Nothobranchius furzeri: one gene and its partners. The protein of the gene in region 1 purifies or fractionates together with the protein of each later gene. This does not show direct contact. Links are inferred from orthologs where the notes say so. Each region holds a gene or a part of one and is shown on either strand. Other genes may lie near its edges.

Region 1 (5,025 bases):
TAATCTCTAACCCTGAGGATTTAATCCAGAATATAAAAACACCAATCTGAACAGGGTTTTATTGCTCTGCACCTTTGTCACGCGCACACACACACACACACACACACACACACACACACACACACACACAGAATTACATTACTTCGTCACCAGGAGGAGAAAAGGAGAAAAACTCTTTAGTGCAGACAGTGAAATCTTTAATAGCACCTTCGTGAACAGATGGAATGGTTGGAGTCAGGATTTCACTCAGCTCTGAGGAAGATTTTACAGATTAAGAAGAGATTTATGTCTGAGACAGGGTTCATGGAGAGAAATAAGAAAAAAGGATGCACCATTGGAGAAACTACATTACAGTAAAATAGTTCACGGGGTTACTTCTTGTATAGAACAAACAGGAAATGGTTTTGTGTTATCTAAATAATAATGTTCTACCACTCCGAATGACACGAAATGAGAAATAACCACCCAGCATAAATTTATATTGAAAAGAGTCAAGGTGTCACGACACAGTCCTAACGACCCGAAGGGAAATTCATCAGAAAAAGAAGGCGAGTTAGCGTAAAAGCAGCTCCCAGAAGCCAGGCATGTTAAAACCCATCATCAGACAAATGAATGATGCGTCAAGCTGCCTACGCACCATAGCAGGAACACGACACCACGCACTTCACAGTAAAAGCATCTGGACTTGAAAATTTACCCAAACTAGCCGATTCAACGGTAAAAACACAATAGCTGGTCACAACCTTGAAACAGCTATTGCTAATAAATTATTAAAAGGATATTATATATTTTTAATCATCAATTATTCATTTGAGTGGGTCGAATACACAAAATACACACATTTGAATAATAAGTAATCAATTTCAAATTTGACAATCAACAGGTAATGATTAATACATAAATTGTCAGAGATTATTTATATAAATAATGTGTGTTGATAAATGATCATGCATGTTGCTTTCCGAGGCCAATAAATCTATTTTATTCTGAAAATACTGACCGGAAACATATTCGATGTGCGTTGACAAACTTGCCACGATACACAAAAAGAGGGTGGAACTAATGCTAGGCTAACAAGCTAACAATTACAATCTGCGACTTTTCATAAATAATTCGCAGAATTAATTTGTGAAGAGTTCGTTATTAAAACACAAAAATGACAACGACGCCACTCCACGTTCACAAGCAAACAGAACAACTCACCATTGTTGCTGCGTAAAATCCCTCCTAACGCTTCTGCTGCTGTTGTGAATGGCAGGAACGCTTTCTGTGTTTTTTTTTTTCGTTTACTTCATATCATCTTGTGACTGGTTAGACCAATCCCAAACAGGCACCCCTTCACTTAAACCCTGCCCAATACATTCAGCTCAGCAGTAAAACGTTATTTTAAATGATACAACCGCACGATTAACACATTGTTTAAATAATCCAGTTTAATTTCACAGCATAAAAATAAATATTTACATTTTATTCTTGCATATATATCAGGAATAAGGAGCTGTAATCATTCATTCTTCATTTACTCAGTCTGGCTGTGATCGATTCTACTGGTTACACACGCGCGCCCGCACACACACACACATACACACACTTTTTTTCCCCATTTTCTAAACGTTGTAGTCAACCTTTTTGCTCATCCACGTGGGCTTGTATGTATTTATATTTGATATATAATGTATATAATGTACATTATATTTATATGTAATGTGTGTATTTATATTTAACCCAACCGAACCCAACTGTGTAAAATGTGCATTGTAAATAAAGTTAGATTGGTTTATGAAAAGTTTTGCCCCCCCTCAAAAAAAACCCCCGCTGTGGACGCTTGTGTGCGCGCGCGCACCGGAACGCACCCACCCCGTAATATACGTCATCAGTTAAGCGCGTGTGCGTCTTTCCTTTTCAGGAGTTGTAGTTGTGAAAGCACATCTAACGTTAGCTTACACTTGTGAGCCTCGGCAGCCACAACAAGCAGGTTGAACCGTTTCCAGTGCTGGATAATTCGTCGCTCTTACCCTCCGTGGTTTAAGGAAAGTCCAGCTTTTGTCCGGTATGTTCAAAAATCCGCTTTAGTGCATTTTACTGTACTCAGATCTGAGCTAAACAAGCGTAAACTACTAACAGTTAGCTGGTGTTAGCTAGATCGGTAGCCAAGTCTGCAACATATTACTAGAAAATTCGTTCCTGTTTCCTCGCTAATATGCTATTCACTGTCATGGCATTTGTGTAACTTTCCACTGTAATATATTTAAGTAATGTCGAGTTGTTTGGAGCCTGTCAAAATGGATTCTGTTAATCTCCACGGTTGTAGGATGGAAACATTTACTCAGAGCTCAGACCTGCCCAGTGATTCTGACACTAGCTTGTTAAAACCGGTTACTATAAACTCACGAGAGTTGTTTTTGTTCCTTCTTTTAGATCATGGCGGATTTCTCGGTAAGTTGAAAATGTTTACACTCACCTATTTACGTCCCTTCATATTGTTTTTATTATTAGCTTGTAGTTGAACAGATCTGTTGTTGTGGGTGGAGACGGCTAATTGTACTTTCTCTCCCTCTCTAGCTGACAGATGCTTTAGTAGACGAACCATCAAACCCGCCTAAGATAGACAATACCAATCGTTCTGTACCAGACAGAAATCCCCCGCCTCATTCAAACCCAGGATGGCCTGCTTCTGCCCCAGGAGCTCCCATCCAGCCCACAGCACCTGCTGACTTTAGTGGCGGATTGTCTGGCCCAGGTGCACCAGGCTCATTCTCATATCCCTCAGGTCCTGGAGCACCAGGGCAATACTCCGGACCTCCTTCAGCACCTGTTGGGTTCCCTGTTGGTCCTGGTATACCTGGGCAGTACCCACCTGCACCAGGAGCTCCAGGCCAGTTTCCCTCAAGTCCTGGGGCACCTGGGCAGTTCCCTGGCCAGTATCCCCCTGAAGGAGTTCCAGGACAATTACCTGGAGGCCCTACTCCTTACCCAGCTGGACCTTTTCCTTCTGGCCCTGGAGCTCCTGCTGGACCATATCCAAATGTGCCTTTTCCTGGTAGTCAGCAACCAGGAGGAAATGGGATGTACGGACCAGGAGGTCCAGGTACATTCCCAGCTCCAGCTGGCCCCAGTTCATTTCCAGCATTCCCTGCTGGTGGGTTTCCCCCAATGCCACCTGGATCATGGGGAGCACCGGCAGGAGGTGGTTTTCCTCCTGCACCTGGCCCTTTTGGGTCCAGTCCTATGAGTCCATATGGGGGGCCAGCCTGTCCAGGAGGCACATTGGTGAGTACTTGTTCTTCTTGGAAACATTTTTCTTGCTTGCTGCACTTCTTATCTGGTGTATTTCTCATTTGGTGTTTGGTGGCAAGTCAAGGTGGTGAGCAGAAACGGTCACGTTCATGATCTGGTTTTGGTGGCGGCTGCATTTGGGTTTTATTCCTTCGTCTTTGAACACTGCTCGGGTGCAATTTTTATGATAAGCAGAAGTAATCTCTTTTCAGAAGGAATCATAGAAAAATCTATTTTTGTCTTTCAGCCCAGATATAATCCACCATTTTATTGAAAAGTCGGACAAGGACATCACTTCCAGCTTCAAAGCGTGGTTTGATTAGTGCCAAAGACTGACTGTATTCCGTATCTGATGGCAGTTGTGTTCAAATGTAAACAATAAACTGGGTGTAATTCTTTCAGTGCAATATTAAATAAGTTATATTTTTACAGAACATCTATTCCCTAATGATGAAAGTTTACTCGGATATTTTCTATCATTACAGGACAGATTCAGATCTGAGGTGTTGGAAATGTAATCGTTAAACTGAACTTTTTACTTTTTCATTACTTTGAGAAGTCACCGGGTGTTGAAACAAATGAAGAAAGTTATGACTCATTCAGGTGCTGTGGTAATAATGTTGGCAGGGTCAAAGTTTTGATTAATGTTTAACTGAATTCCCTTTATTTCCTGACAATAAACTTGTATGTTACCAAGTCAAGAGTGTTGTTAATAAAGGTTAAACGCGTGTGAATCTTCCCTGTCGGATGTCATTTATCGGGTAAAAACTGTTTTTATTTATATATTTATGCACAAAGTGCCTGTCTCATTTGTGTTGTAAATGTTTCTTGCAGATGTTGCCGCATGATCTCCCCCTTCACGCTGGAATCATGCCGCGACTTTTAATCACGATAATCGGAGAGCCTGTTCCTGGTGCAGTCAGGTACACGTTCACAAATAGCATTCAGCTCATGGGACTGATGTCAGATGTGGTGTTAGGGGAGAAAAACAACTATTTGTTTTCTTTTTCAGGTTCAATGTTGACTTCATCAAAGGTTCAGATGTGGTTTTTCACTTTAACCCTCGGTTTCATGAGCAAACCATTGTTAGAAACTCTAACTTAGGAGGTTATTGGGGGCCCGAGGAGCGCGAAGGACCCTTCCCCTTCGTTGAGGGACGCCGTTTTGAGGTAAAATCAAAACAAAAAGCTCAGGAGAAAGAAATATAATTTTATTTTTACATCTGTACTTTATAATAAGAATACAGCAAATGTAACGGAACACAGAGACTTTTGAAATTTTATAAAAGATGTAAAGGCAGCTTTTTGAGAGTGATGCTACGGTGGTCCTCCATGTTAGATGTGATTCCACCACGACATGTTTTATGCAGGCGTGAGATGCAATATTTATTTACACCTAATTCAGCAAGCTTTAGTTAGATTCAGTATCAGAAGTGTCATCTCAGCAGCTTCCTGACGGGCCCGCTGATCTAATAATTACAGAATTAAGGTAACTTTTATGTGAACTTCCTATGGTAGTGGTGGTTTTTTTTTTTATTAGTGAGGGTCCTGACTTAAAGAGCAAGTCACCACCCTGCCTGAGTCTTTCTCCACTCACACTTCTTGTTTGAAAAAAGCACAAGGAGGTGTTGCCTGGCAGACCAGGTGGGCAGATCTGCGCTAGAGAGTGACAGACTGCTACCCCCACCCCCCTGCGCTCGATGGTTCTCAGTTCGAGAACTGAGCAGCTAACAAACAAGCACACACACAC
Region 2 (5,025 bases), on another chromosome or scaffold:
ACACTTAGTGGTTTGTAACAAAGCCTGCCCATTTAAGGACAGCCATGGAAAAAGAGCAGTGATGAGGTTAGCGTTTCCCCACAGAGATTTCATCCTTGTTCCTTCTATTATTTGAACGTGTGATCTGACAAGCGATGCTGAATGGGAGGAAGTGGCACTCGGTTTCCCACGGTAAAATCAAGGAAACAAACACTGATGAGAAGCCGCCAGGATGTCATGGTAAATCCATAAGTCCCTTTCCATAATGACCCACTCATGGAAGAGATTCAAGGTTGTTCTGAGGAAAAGCTGAAGGTGTGGTCTCGGTAAAAAATATTTGAATTGGGATTATTTTGTGTTTGTTTCATTAAGGATTGGCAGGATTTGTTGTTTTTCAGTGGATCAGAGCGTAAAAGGTTTGGGAACTTGTGAGGTAAGAGGGACACTAATGTCCATCTGACTAACAGCAAAATATTTGAGCAGCAAGAAGTAAAAATTACGTTAGCAACACGTTTTTTTACACTCAGCTCATCAGAATCAATTTATTCTGACAGGGCTGAGAGGTCATGTAGTATTTAATATGTGAAACACATAAAAACAAGATCATTCCACCAGCTTGCTTGTTTTCAGCTGTGTTGATGGGAGAGGCTAAAGACAAGAACTCACCCTGTTTGTAGAAGAGCCCAGCAGCGATGGCAGACACGAACGAGACGAGTGACAGGATGCACACCAGATACAGCAGCTTCCTCTCTCGCTGTGTCTTGTCCTGCCAGCATGTGGTACCTCTGCCTTGAAAAAAAGCCACCTACAAACACACACACACGCACGCACGCACAAACACACACACGCACACCCATTAAGTAAACCTTATCTAATCTACATCTTTATACCCTGAAAATGTATGAGGAACCTAATATTTTCCTTTACTAAACTAAACGTTTTATATCAGAGACAACCAAAACGGCACTTCAGTATTGATAATAAATAAATAAATAATAGTAACAACAATAATAATATTAATAATAATAGAGTTGTACATTTCTTAACCTTTCTTTCTTTGCTTACCATAACATTGCAAGTGCTGCCATGCTATCTTCCCAAGGAGGCAAAAAAGTCAAATGTGGGCTGGAGTTGCATTAACCAGATATTCTCTGTTTTCGATAGTTTATTTTGAAATCTCAAGGCTGTTGGTCATTCTGACAAACTGGAATTACCCTGACGTATGCAGGTGCGCAGACGATTTAAACGTTACACACAGAGAACATCACAGAGGTAACAAGATCAATCAAGAGAAGATTCCCATCAGAACATCTGAGCATTATCTCAGACCTGGACACCAGGACCAGTGCAGCGCGCTGAGGAGCTGTGAGAGCAGCTCGGAGCGTCTGCGGGTCACGGCCAGCAGCAGCTGACTTATTGATTAGCCCTAATAACACACTCTGCACACTAAGTCCCCAGGGTCATATTTGAATACTTCTGATGTAAAAATGTCACACACACACACACACACACACACACACACACACACGCACGCACACACGCACACACACACACACGCACACACGCGCACACGCGCACACACGCGCACACGCGCACACGCGCACACACGCACACACGCACACACGCACACACACACACACACACACACACACACACACACACACACACACACACACACACACACACAGCTCTACCAATTTAATTCTAGTCATAGAAATTATTCACTAATTACAGACGCTGAAGATATAATTTCCCAACGTCTGTATGTGAATAAAAGTAGAGAAACGGTTACGTGTCTATGACTTATTATAAAACTTTATCACAATAGTTGACACTGAAGACAAAAGTAAAATTAAAGGAGTGGAAGACTCCTTTAATTTGCTGTCGTTTCTGTTAGGAAAGACTGCCTTGTAAGTTAATCTCAGAGGGAAAAAACACACTGTGGCACCATTTCTCTGACTCAAAGTTGCCAACTTCACAGCTGAGCTTCAGGCAGAATGTTTTGGAGTCCTATTTCCTGATATTTGGAAATCTCTGAATTGGATAACAGCAAAGCGACTCTACTACTGACTTGCAGCGTGGATGCTTTATCTCCACCAATAACACACTGGAGGAGTTCTGTCGTGTGGTGAAGCTGCTAATGCTAACAGTTAGCTTCTAGCTGCTGAGACATTCTCTGTTGTTTCCTGGACACTGAACCAACAACAGCCTTCCTGTTGCGAGTCCAGATGGGTGAGACCATGAATGTTAAGTGACAGTGTGACATAGATCTGTCAGGATTTTCTAATCCTAGAGTTTCACCGTCTGTTTTCTATCAGAAGCTAATGCAGGAGGTAGGTGTAGGAGACTATCCTCATGCTCGGCCTGCATGTTGTAACTCAAAATGACTGATTACAATCAGAAAAGTTTTTTAGTGTTTCACACCTTTAATACATTTATAGAAGCCAAAGAGTCAGAGCATAAACTGGGTCATTTACGTAAAAGGTTTTATAATATGAATGCTTTAAGCAACATTTACAAAATTAATCAATTTAGGCCATAAAAATGTCATTATCCTCACATTTTTATCTCTCATTCGATCTAACATTAACAGCTAAAACTCTTTTTACATCAAAGGTGCCAAAAATAATCTAAAAGACGTTTGGTCCGGTTTAAAACAACAAGATGTGTCACTTTCAGACCTCGCTGAAGTTTGCTGTAATCGTTGTGCTTTAGGTGCCTGACACAACATCCTCCTGGCTGAGCTCTTACCTGCATCGACGAGGGGTAGACATCGTCACCCATGGAGTCCACCAGATCCTCCTCGTCCAGCGTGGCTCTCTTATATGTGGACATCTGAAAAATCAGATGAAGAACAGATTGTCTCAATGCTTCCATGTTTCTTCAAGCCCTATCCATTCCCAGTAGGATGTCTGGAGAATGGTGTTTACTCTTCAGCAGTCCCTGAGGCTTCACAACTGCTTGGCCCTTTAAATTCCATCGGTTAAAAAAGAGAATCGGGTTGTTCTGGTTAGAGCAAGGTTTGCTTTGAAGGGGGAAAAATGTCAGTCTTCTTCTTTGAATGCACTTTTCTGCTCCCCCCGACCCCTCTGACAGCCCCCATGGCTTTAGGCAGACACACGCAGCAGAAATGTCCACCTGAAGAGATGTAGTAAGAACTCCTTGTGGGTTCTCTCTCTCTCTCTCTCTCTCTCTCTCTTTGATCTTTCTAGCCGAGTCAATGCAAACACGGAACAAGAGAACACGGAACTAGTGAAAAACAGGAAGGAGCTCTGACTAGAACGATTTACATGGCTGAGTGAGTGTGTGTGCATGCGCGTGTGTGTGTCTTTGTGCAACCACATTCCTCAATGTGGTTTCACTCAGATTTGGGGAGGGTGTCTCTCACTTCACACCCACTGTTCTTTCTATAGGACACAAAACACAAAGGGGCGGAGCCCAAAAGAGAAGCTCCTCCTCCAGATACACGTTGTGATTGTTTCCTGTTGCACAATCGGCAAGCCAGCCAGTTCCTCTCTGGTTTAGCCCCTTACAGTAGTGACACATGCAAACACTGATGCTGTGTCAGGTTTCTAGAGATGAAAAGCAAAACGTGTCAGAGAAGGGAAAAGAGAGGTAGAGCTCCTTTATGACTCAGACTTGTGTAATAGGAAGTAAAACATACGCAAAAGAAGCTATTTTTCCTGTTAACTGATTTAAACAGTGATGCACCAGTTTAGAGTATTCAAGGCTGATACCAGGGTCTGCAACCTTTACAATTCCAAAGAGCAGTTTTTCCCCACCGTCCACTGGAATAAAACTTGTTTAGAGCTGCAACTGCTATAGGATCTTTAAAAAAGACAGCTTTTACATTTAGAAAAATAACTATGGAAGAGGGGCTGCGCAGTGGCACAGTGATTAGAGCTGTTGCCTTGCAGCGAGAAGGTCCTCCTGGGTTTGATTCCCGGCCTGGGATCTTTCTGCATGGAGTTTGCATGTTCTCCCTGTGCATGCGTGGGTTCTCTCCGGGTACTCCGGCTTCCTCCCACAGTCCAAAAACATGACTGTTAGGTTAATTGGTCTGTCTGAATTGTCCTTAGGTGTGAGTGTGTGTGCATGATTGTTTGTCCTGTGTGTCTCTGTGTTGCCCCGCGATGGACTGGCTCTCTGTCCAGGGTGCACCCCGGCACCAGCCCCCCCCCCCCCCCCCCCGCGAACAAAGCGGGTTCAGAAGATTGATGGATGGAACTATGGAAGAGGGATAGGGCCAATGAAAAACATTGTCTCTTATATTTAGGATTCAGATTTTTTCTGAGATTAAAGTCAGAAATCTTTTTTTTATTTTCGTTTCCGTTGTTAGGTAAAAAAAATACTAATAGGACTTTTGCAAGAGGAGACTATAAATTTTTCTGGATGTTTATATGTGTGGAAGATTATGTAAAAAACATACACAGATCTAAAACTAGTGATTCTGTTATGGAAATTCGATGCAATTATTACATGAAGAGCCATTGTGGAAGGTCCAGAGAGCCTCAGGCTGCAGACGCCAGCTCTACCGACCCACTCTGATTTCACTGCTGTTATTTTTATTAACTTGAAGGTTTTGTTTCTGAAGGAAAACCATGAAAAGAAACAGGTTAGTCAGAGTGAAAGATGCTATACTATAAAACCAAACCTAATTCAGTGAGGTCTGCAGTATATCATTCTTAATACTTCCTTAATAATCTGATAAAGACAATACACAATCCACCTTTAAAGCTGATAACAATTCCTGTGTTATGACAGAACTTCCTGTCACTTAATAGTTTATAAACAAATCCTTTATCATTGCGATGGATTGTTATAACTGACATAACTCGTGTTCTGGAATAAATATATGCCGCTTAAATAACTTGTTTAATATAAACCAATATGCCTGATGACACACATCATTAGTATAACCCCGTTATATCAACACAGATTAGAAATCATTGCAATCACAAGGAGCCATTCCCAAATCCTTCCTTTGTTTTATAAACCACATAAACATCTGACAGATATACTTAAAAATTCCAGTTAGCTCTTGTT
Region 3 (4,715 bases), on another chromosome or scaffold:
TGATGCCAAAGGTGTTTCAAACGAGCTGGCGCCATCTTTGTTTCCACTCATTTGCACCCACCAAACTGAGAGCGCTGTGATTGGCATAACACCATTCCGCTATGGCCAATGGTGGACCTGCTGGGGCTCCCGTGGAGCGCGGCTAGACCGACCTGCAGAGCAGAATTATTTAGCTTCAGCTACAGTCTCTCTAGATTTCTTGGCTAACATTTGGGCTGGCCCGATGAAATGGAGACATGATACCATGAAGGGAAATACTCTAAAATCCCCAGAGGTTCCCGGGGCTATAAGAGTTGTTACATACGGTATGTGATCCTTATTCTTTACTCGTCATGCAAAAATCAGCTGGAACCAGTCGGTTAGCTTGTACTGCTAGTCTTCTGAAAATCAGTAAAGACTGAAAGTTGTGTGGTTTGTCCCTAAACTGTACCACTCACACCCAGGCTAACACACAGGAACACGACTGCTGTTTGGGCGTGGTTTCCTCACAAGTCCCCACCCAAAGCTGCAACACCCGGCTGTTTCTTCTTTTTGGTGAACTGACGCACACGTGCAGCCAGATGTAGCCTCTCTGCGTCCATCAGCTTCAGTAACGTCACTTATTTCAACCACCAGCTGCCCTGACTTCCTCCCCTGTGAGAACATCTCAGGACCTTGACTCCTTGACCTCAGTAACATCAGCAAGAGGGTTTTCTATTTCAGCGGATTCTGCTGATCTACCGTTTCTGCTTTTTTCTCTTTTCCAGCAACCAAAGCAGAAATATGAACAGACTCTTAACAACAACCGCAGCGTATAGCAACCTGATCAAAACACATTCGGATTAGCTGTCTCCATTTCTATTTATGGAAGCTTATTAAACAACCAACGTGGGGCATCCTCACTACTGCCCAAGTGCTTAAGTGGATCAGAGGAGACAACACATCTGCTCAGGCTTACAGCCAGTCAATCAGCACAGCCACTCTCACGCCTTTAGAAATTCTGTTATTGCACACATCCAAAAATAAACTACATACAACTTCTCTCCTCTGAATCGGGTGAATGTGCAGGCCATCCCTCTCACCTGTTGACACGACTAGAAGATGTTTTCTACTGCCTCTGTGCTGTAGGTGGAAGTGGAACCTGAACAACATCGCTAAACTTTAATTATAGCTCATTTTTCTGTTGGACTCCATGAAGCCCTCAACCAATCAGAAACCCAATCACTCTTACATTCAAATAAATGAAATCCTTTTCTGTTTAGAGGCTAAAAACCTATGAGAACAGTTAACTCGTTAGCAGCCCTGAGCCGGACCACTGACTTGTACCTGTGTCATGTGTATGGTGGAACATACTGGCTCACTGACATGAGTGAGGGGTCACCATGAAGCACTTCTCAGGACTCTGCCACTAGACAAACTTCTGCATTCTGACAGTTGTGACTGAGGAGGGATGTCTGCTCGGATCTGAGTCAGGTGTGACAGAAGTAGAACACACTTCTTCTTTCCAGCCCAAACCATTCATGTCTCACCCCGGGTTTCCACGGGAGCCGTCAGCAGCACGTTACTGCAGAAGCACGTCTTGCTCGCGTAAGCTGCTGCTTGGCCCTTCCCACGAGACGCAAAGCAGCAGGGGAGCAGCTGTCACCGACCGAGCACGAAGTCACACGAGTGACTTCGTCAGTAAACACAACAACAAGCAGGAGAAAACTACAACATGGTTTGTGTTTTATGTTCTGTCCGTTTTATAATCGCCAATACGGACCTGAAAAACAAAGGAGACCGCTAGCTAGGTGATAACTTCTCACGGGTCCGCACATTTAGTAACTTTTTTAAAAGTAAAGCAACCGGAAGGAAGTACATTCTTTATTCTGAAAATCTCGGAAGCTTCTCTCCATTTCCGCGTCCGATTTCCGGTCTTTCCTTCCCCAAAAATGTCGAACTTGACCCGTTTCAGAGGCGCCGCGTGTAGAAAATAGAACCGGCGCGTAAAGGCCGCGACATGCTGCTCCTGAGACGCGGCCGACTCGCGCTGCTGACGGCTGCCGAAGGCTCCAGTGGAAAAGGTTCTGTTGACCACAGCGGTTCCTATCAGCAGCTATGACGTGCTGCTGCAGTAACGTGCTGCTGACGGCTCCCGTGGAAAGCCGGGGTCAGTCCCAACACCTGCCATCACACGGCCAAATAAGATCACAGACAAGTGAGCAGAAAACTCTGAAAGATTTGGTTCATTTACACATGGACTCTGATTAACAAACACATAAAACAGGGATGTAAAATATATGGATGCACTGAAATATTGCAATATTTGGTTTACGAAATGAATCAACATTTTAAAACATTTGATTTTTTGTGGGAGAATTTCCATGCAAGCTTTTTTTGTGCTGTAATTCAAACTCTGACTGCTAGGTGGCAGCAGATTTCAATCGCCTTCATTCTGACGGAACAACGAGGTCTCGTGAGAACACGGAGTGTTTTGGAGGCGTCTGACCCTGGTCTTTCAATTTAAAATGACATTTATTATTTGGCTTTCAGTACTGTGATGTATGGCATTGTTTCTCGTGTGATAAACATCGTATCACCAGATTCTCGTCGATATCCACAACTGAAAGCTCAACAATGTAGAGAGGACGTACATAAAAACAAGCCAGACTCATGGAGGTAATCATGACTCTGCCACACTCAAAATACAGCCTTATAAATCTCCTCCACAACCACACACGCTGCTACAGTCGCAAACACAACTGTGCACCAGTGTGAGACGCTCCACTGGAGAACATCTGGTTCATACCCCGTCTGTGTTAGTAAGTGTGACGTTCACCTTGCTCTATGCTGCAGTGATCCGGTGTGCCGGTTCCTCCTCCTCCCGACGCGGTGTTCGCCACACCTGCCTCACTGAGCCCATCGCTTGGATCGACACTCTCCCTGGAGCCAAAGTGAACTCGGTTGGACGGACGAGAGCTGAGGTCAGGCGACGTGTCGGACAGTCCCGGGAGGTCCTCGGCCTTGGTGGGCGTCACAGTGAAGCGGACTGATGCCATGGCAGCTTGCTTGGAGAAGTTAATAGAGAAAGGGGGGGGGGGGGGGGCAGGTGTGTGCCAGATGGGATAAAGCAGAAGAGGGGGGGTGGGGGTGTGTGTGTGTGTGGGGGGGTTGTGGACCAGATTAGCGGCACTAAGCTAGGCTATCTCCCAGCTGATGCTGAGGTAACAGTTACCTCGACTAGCTCTCTTTTGTATGCTAAAACACTCCATGGGAGCGAGCGGGTTGGGTTCTGACTGAAGGTTTGGGAAAAGTTCTATTTGTGACGACACACTCTTAGTGTGTGTGATGGTAGTGAAGCCGGCAGATGATCGGCTTTCTTCAGAAATGTGTCAAAACTATTTCTAGCAGTTAAGAAAGAGTAAAGTAACTGTGAGAAGCTGACTGGGCCGGTTTCTGGTGACAGAAAGCTGATAACTGTCCTCCTCTTTACATTTTCTCCTTTAGACGTATCTAAATGTGTCTGACATGCACCTTGCTTTGAAAAGTGACCTTCATCACGCATCATCAATCGTCACAAGAGTGGTGTAAAAACCATGGGAGGGAAAGACACGGGTGCAGCAAAAGCAAAGAGACAGGAAGAGGAAAACACAAAGAGATGACTCAGCATTAGAAACTAGTTCCATGAATGCGAAATAAAAACTTTTCAGTATTAAAGCGTCTGTGATCCCGAGTTTCTCGTCAAATCAGGCAGGCACAACAAGAAGTGTGTCATGAGCTTTTCTGGGAAAAAAATCTATTTAAAAGATCAACAGACCCTCTTCTGTTGCATCATAAAACAAACATCCATCCACCGTTAAAGCAGAAGTCTCTCTGTTTGTTACCGTTCGATCAATGATCTCAGAAGCTTCAGGTTCATTTCCATCTTTTAGTGAATGGGTCACAAATGACGGAGGTGTGTGAAGCAGCAGCGTAGCTCATGTCCCAGATGTCCCACTAGAGTCACCTAACACCTGAATCCTGGCAGAACAACAGCCAGACGGCTGCTTTACTCTTTTCCCTCTTTTTCCTCAGCCTTGGACAATAATTTAATAATTAAAGGAGAGCGGTTCCAACCGGTTGTGCCAGAGAGATCCAGCTCTGGCTCTGCATGCAGAGGCAGGGCTGGATGCTGCTTCAGGTTCTGCTGGGGACCAGCGCGCTGCTCAGAATGAAAGCAGGAGGTAGAAAACAAAAAGGACTTGATTTCTACTGTTTCTGCTGCATCATTTTCTGTTCCAGACCAGAGAAGAAGATGCAAAACCAGACAGAGACGATCTGAATAAATAAATATAAAATGCAGATTTTGAATAATAACTTTATTAATCAAACAGGTGATCCACACCAGCCTGGCTACATGTGAAATAGTAACTGACCCCTAAACCTAAAAACACTTTTGGAGGCAGGCGTAATCGAGCACATGTTATAACCGGTAATGAGTCTCTCACAACGCCACAGACGAGGTTTGGGCCATTTCCACCATCAGAACTTCCAGGTCATTTTACTGGACCTTTACGGCATGTGTCTCCATTTCCTCGGACCAGCTCAAAGGACCAGATCCTGGGACCTTACAGGGACCTAACGAGTACCTGAACTCAGGTGTGTATTCAGAAATGACTTGCTTCTATAGAACACGCCATGGCGTATTTCTGTTAGAGACCGTTTAGCCTCCTTCATGTAGCCAAATGATAAATGACCCCCACTTGTACAGTGCCTTT

The links. The genes of interacting proteins can lie anywhere in the genome.
Region 2: the proteins of lgals3a (region 1) and ece1 purify together in Homo sapiens (affinity purification with mass spectrometry; 3 studies listed by BioGRID and IntAct, counting the BioPlex papers as one, with this or other methods). This does not show direct contact. The link is inferred for Nothobranchius furzeri from reciprocal best matches to the Homo sapiens genes LGALS3 and ECE1.
Region 3: the proteins of lgals3a (region 1) and solute carrier family 12 member 6 purify together in Homo sapiens (affinity purification with mass spectrometry; 3 studies listed by BioGRID and IntAct, counting the BioPlex papers as one, with this or other methods). This does not show direct contact. The link is inferred for Nothobranchius furzeri from reciprocal best matches to the Homo sapiens genes LGALS3 and SLC12A6.

Annotation. Positions count from the first base shown.
Region 1 is NC_091758.1:19,583,147-19,588,171, reverse strand, and holds the start of lgals3a (galectin-3), read left to right. Parts: upstream 1-1,902; 5' UTR 1,903-2,050; intron 2,051-2,418; 5' UTR 2,419-2,421; coding exon 2,422-2,436; intron 2,437-2,562; coding exon 2,563-3,270; intron 3,271-4,110; coding exon 4,111-4,199; intron 4,200-4,288; coding exon 4,289-4,445; intron 4,446-5,025. Other genes in the region: gmfb (glia maturation factor beta), read right to left, coding at 1,204-1,206. UniProt on the Homo sapiens protein: Galactose-specific lectin which binds IgE. May mediate with the alpha-3, beta-1 integrin the stimulation by CSPG4 of endothelial cells migration.
Region 2 is NC_091743.1:76,780,233-76,785,257, reverse strand, and holds the start of ece1 (endothelin-converting enzyme 1), read right to left. Parts: upstream 3,059-5,025; 5' UTR 2,857-3,058; coding exon 2,731-2,856; intron 785-2,730; coding exon 646-784; intron 1-645. UniProt on the Homo sapiens protein: Converts big endothelin-1 to endothelin-1.
Region 3 is NC_091742.1:80,340,039-80,344,753, reverse strand, and holds the start of solute carrier family 12 member 6, read right to left. Parts: upstream 3,059-4,715; 5' UTR 3,018-3,058; coding exon 2,798-3,017; intron 1-2,797.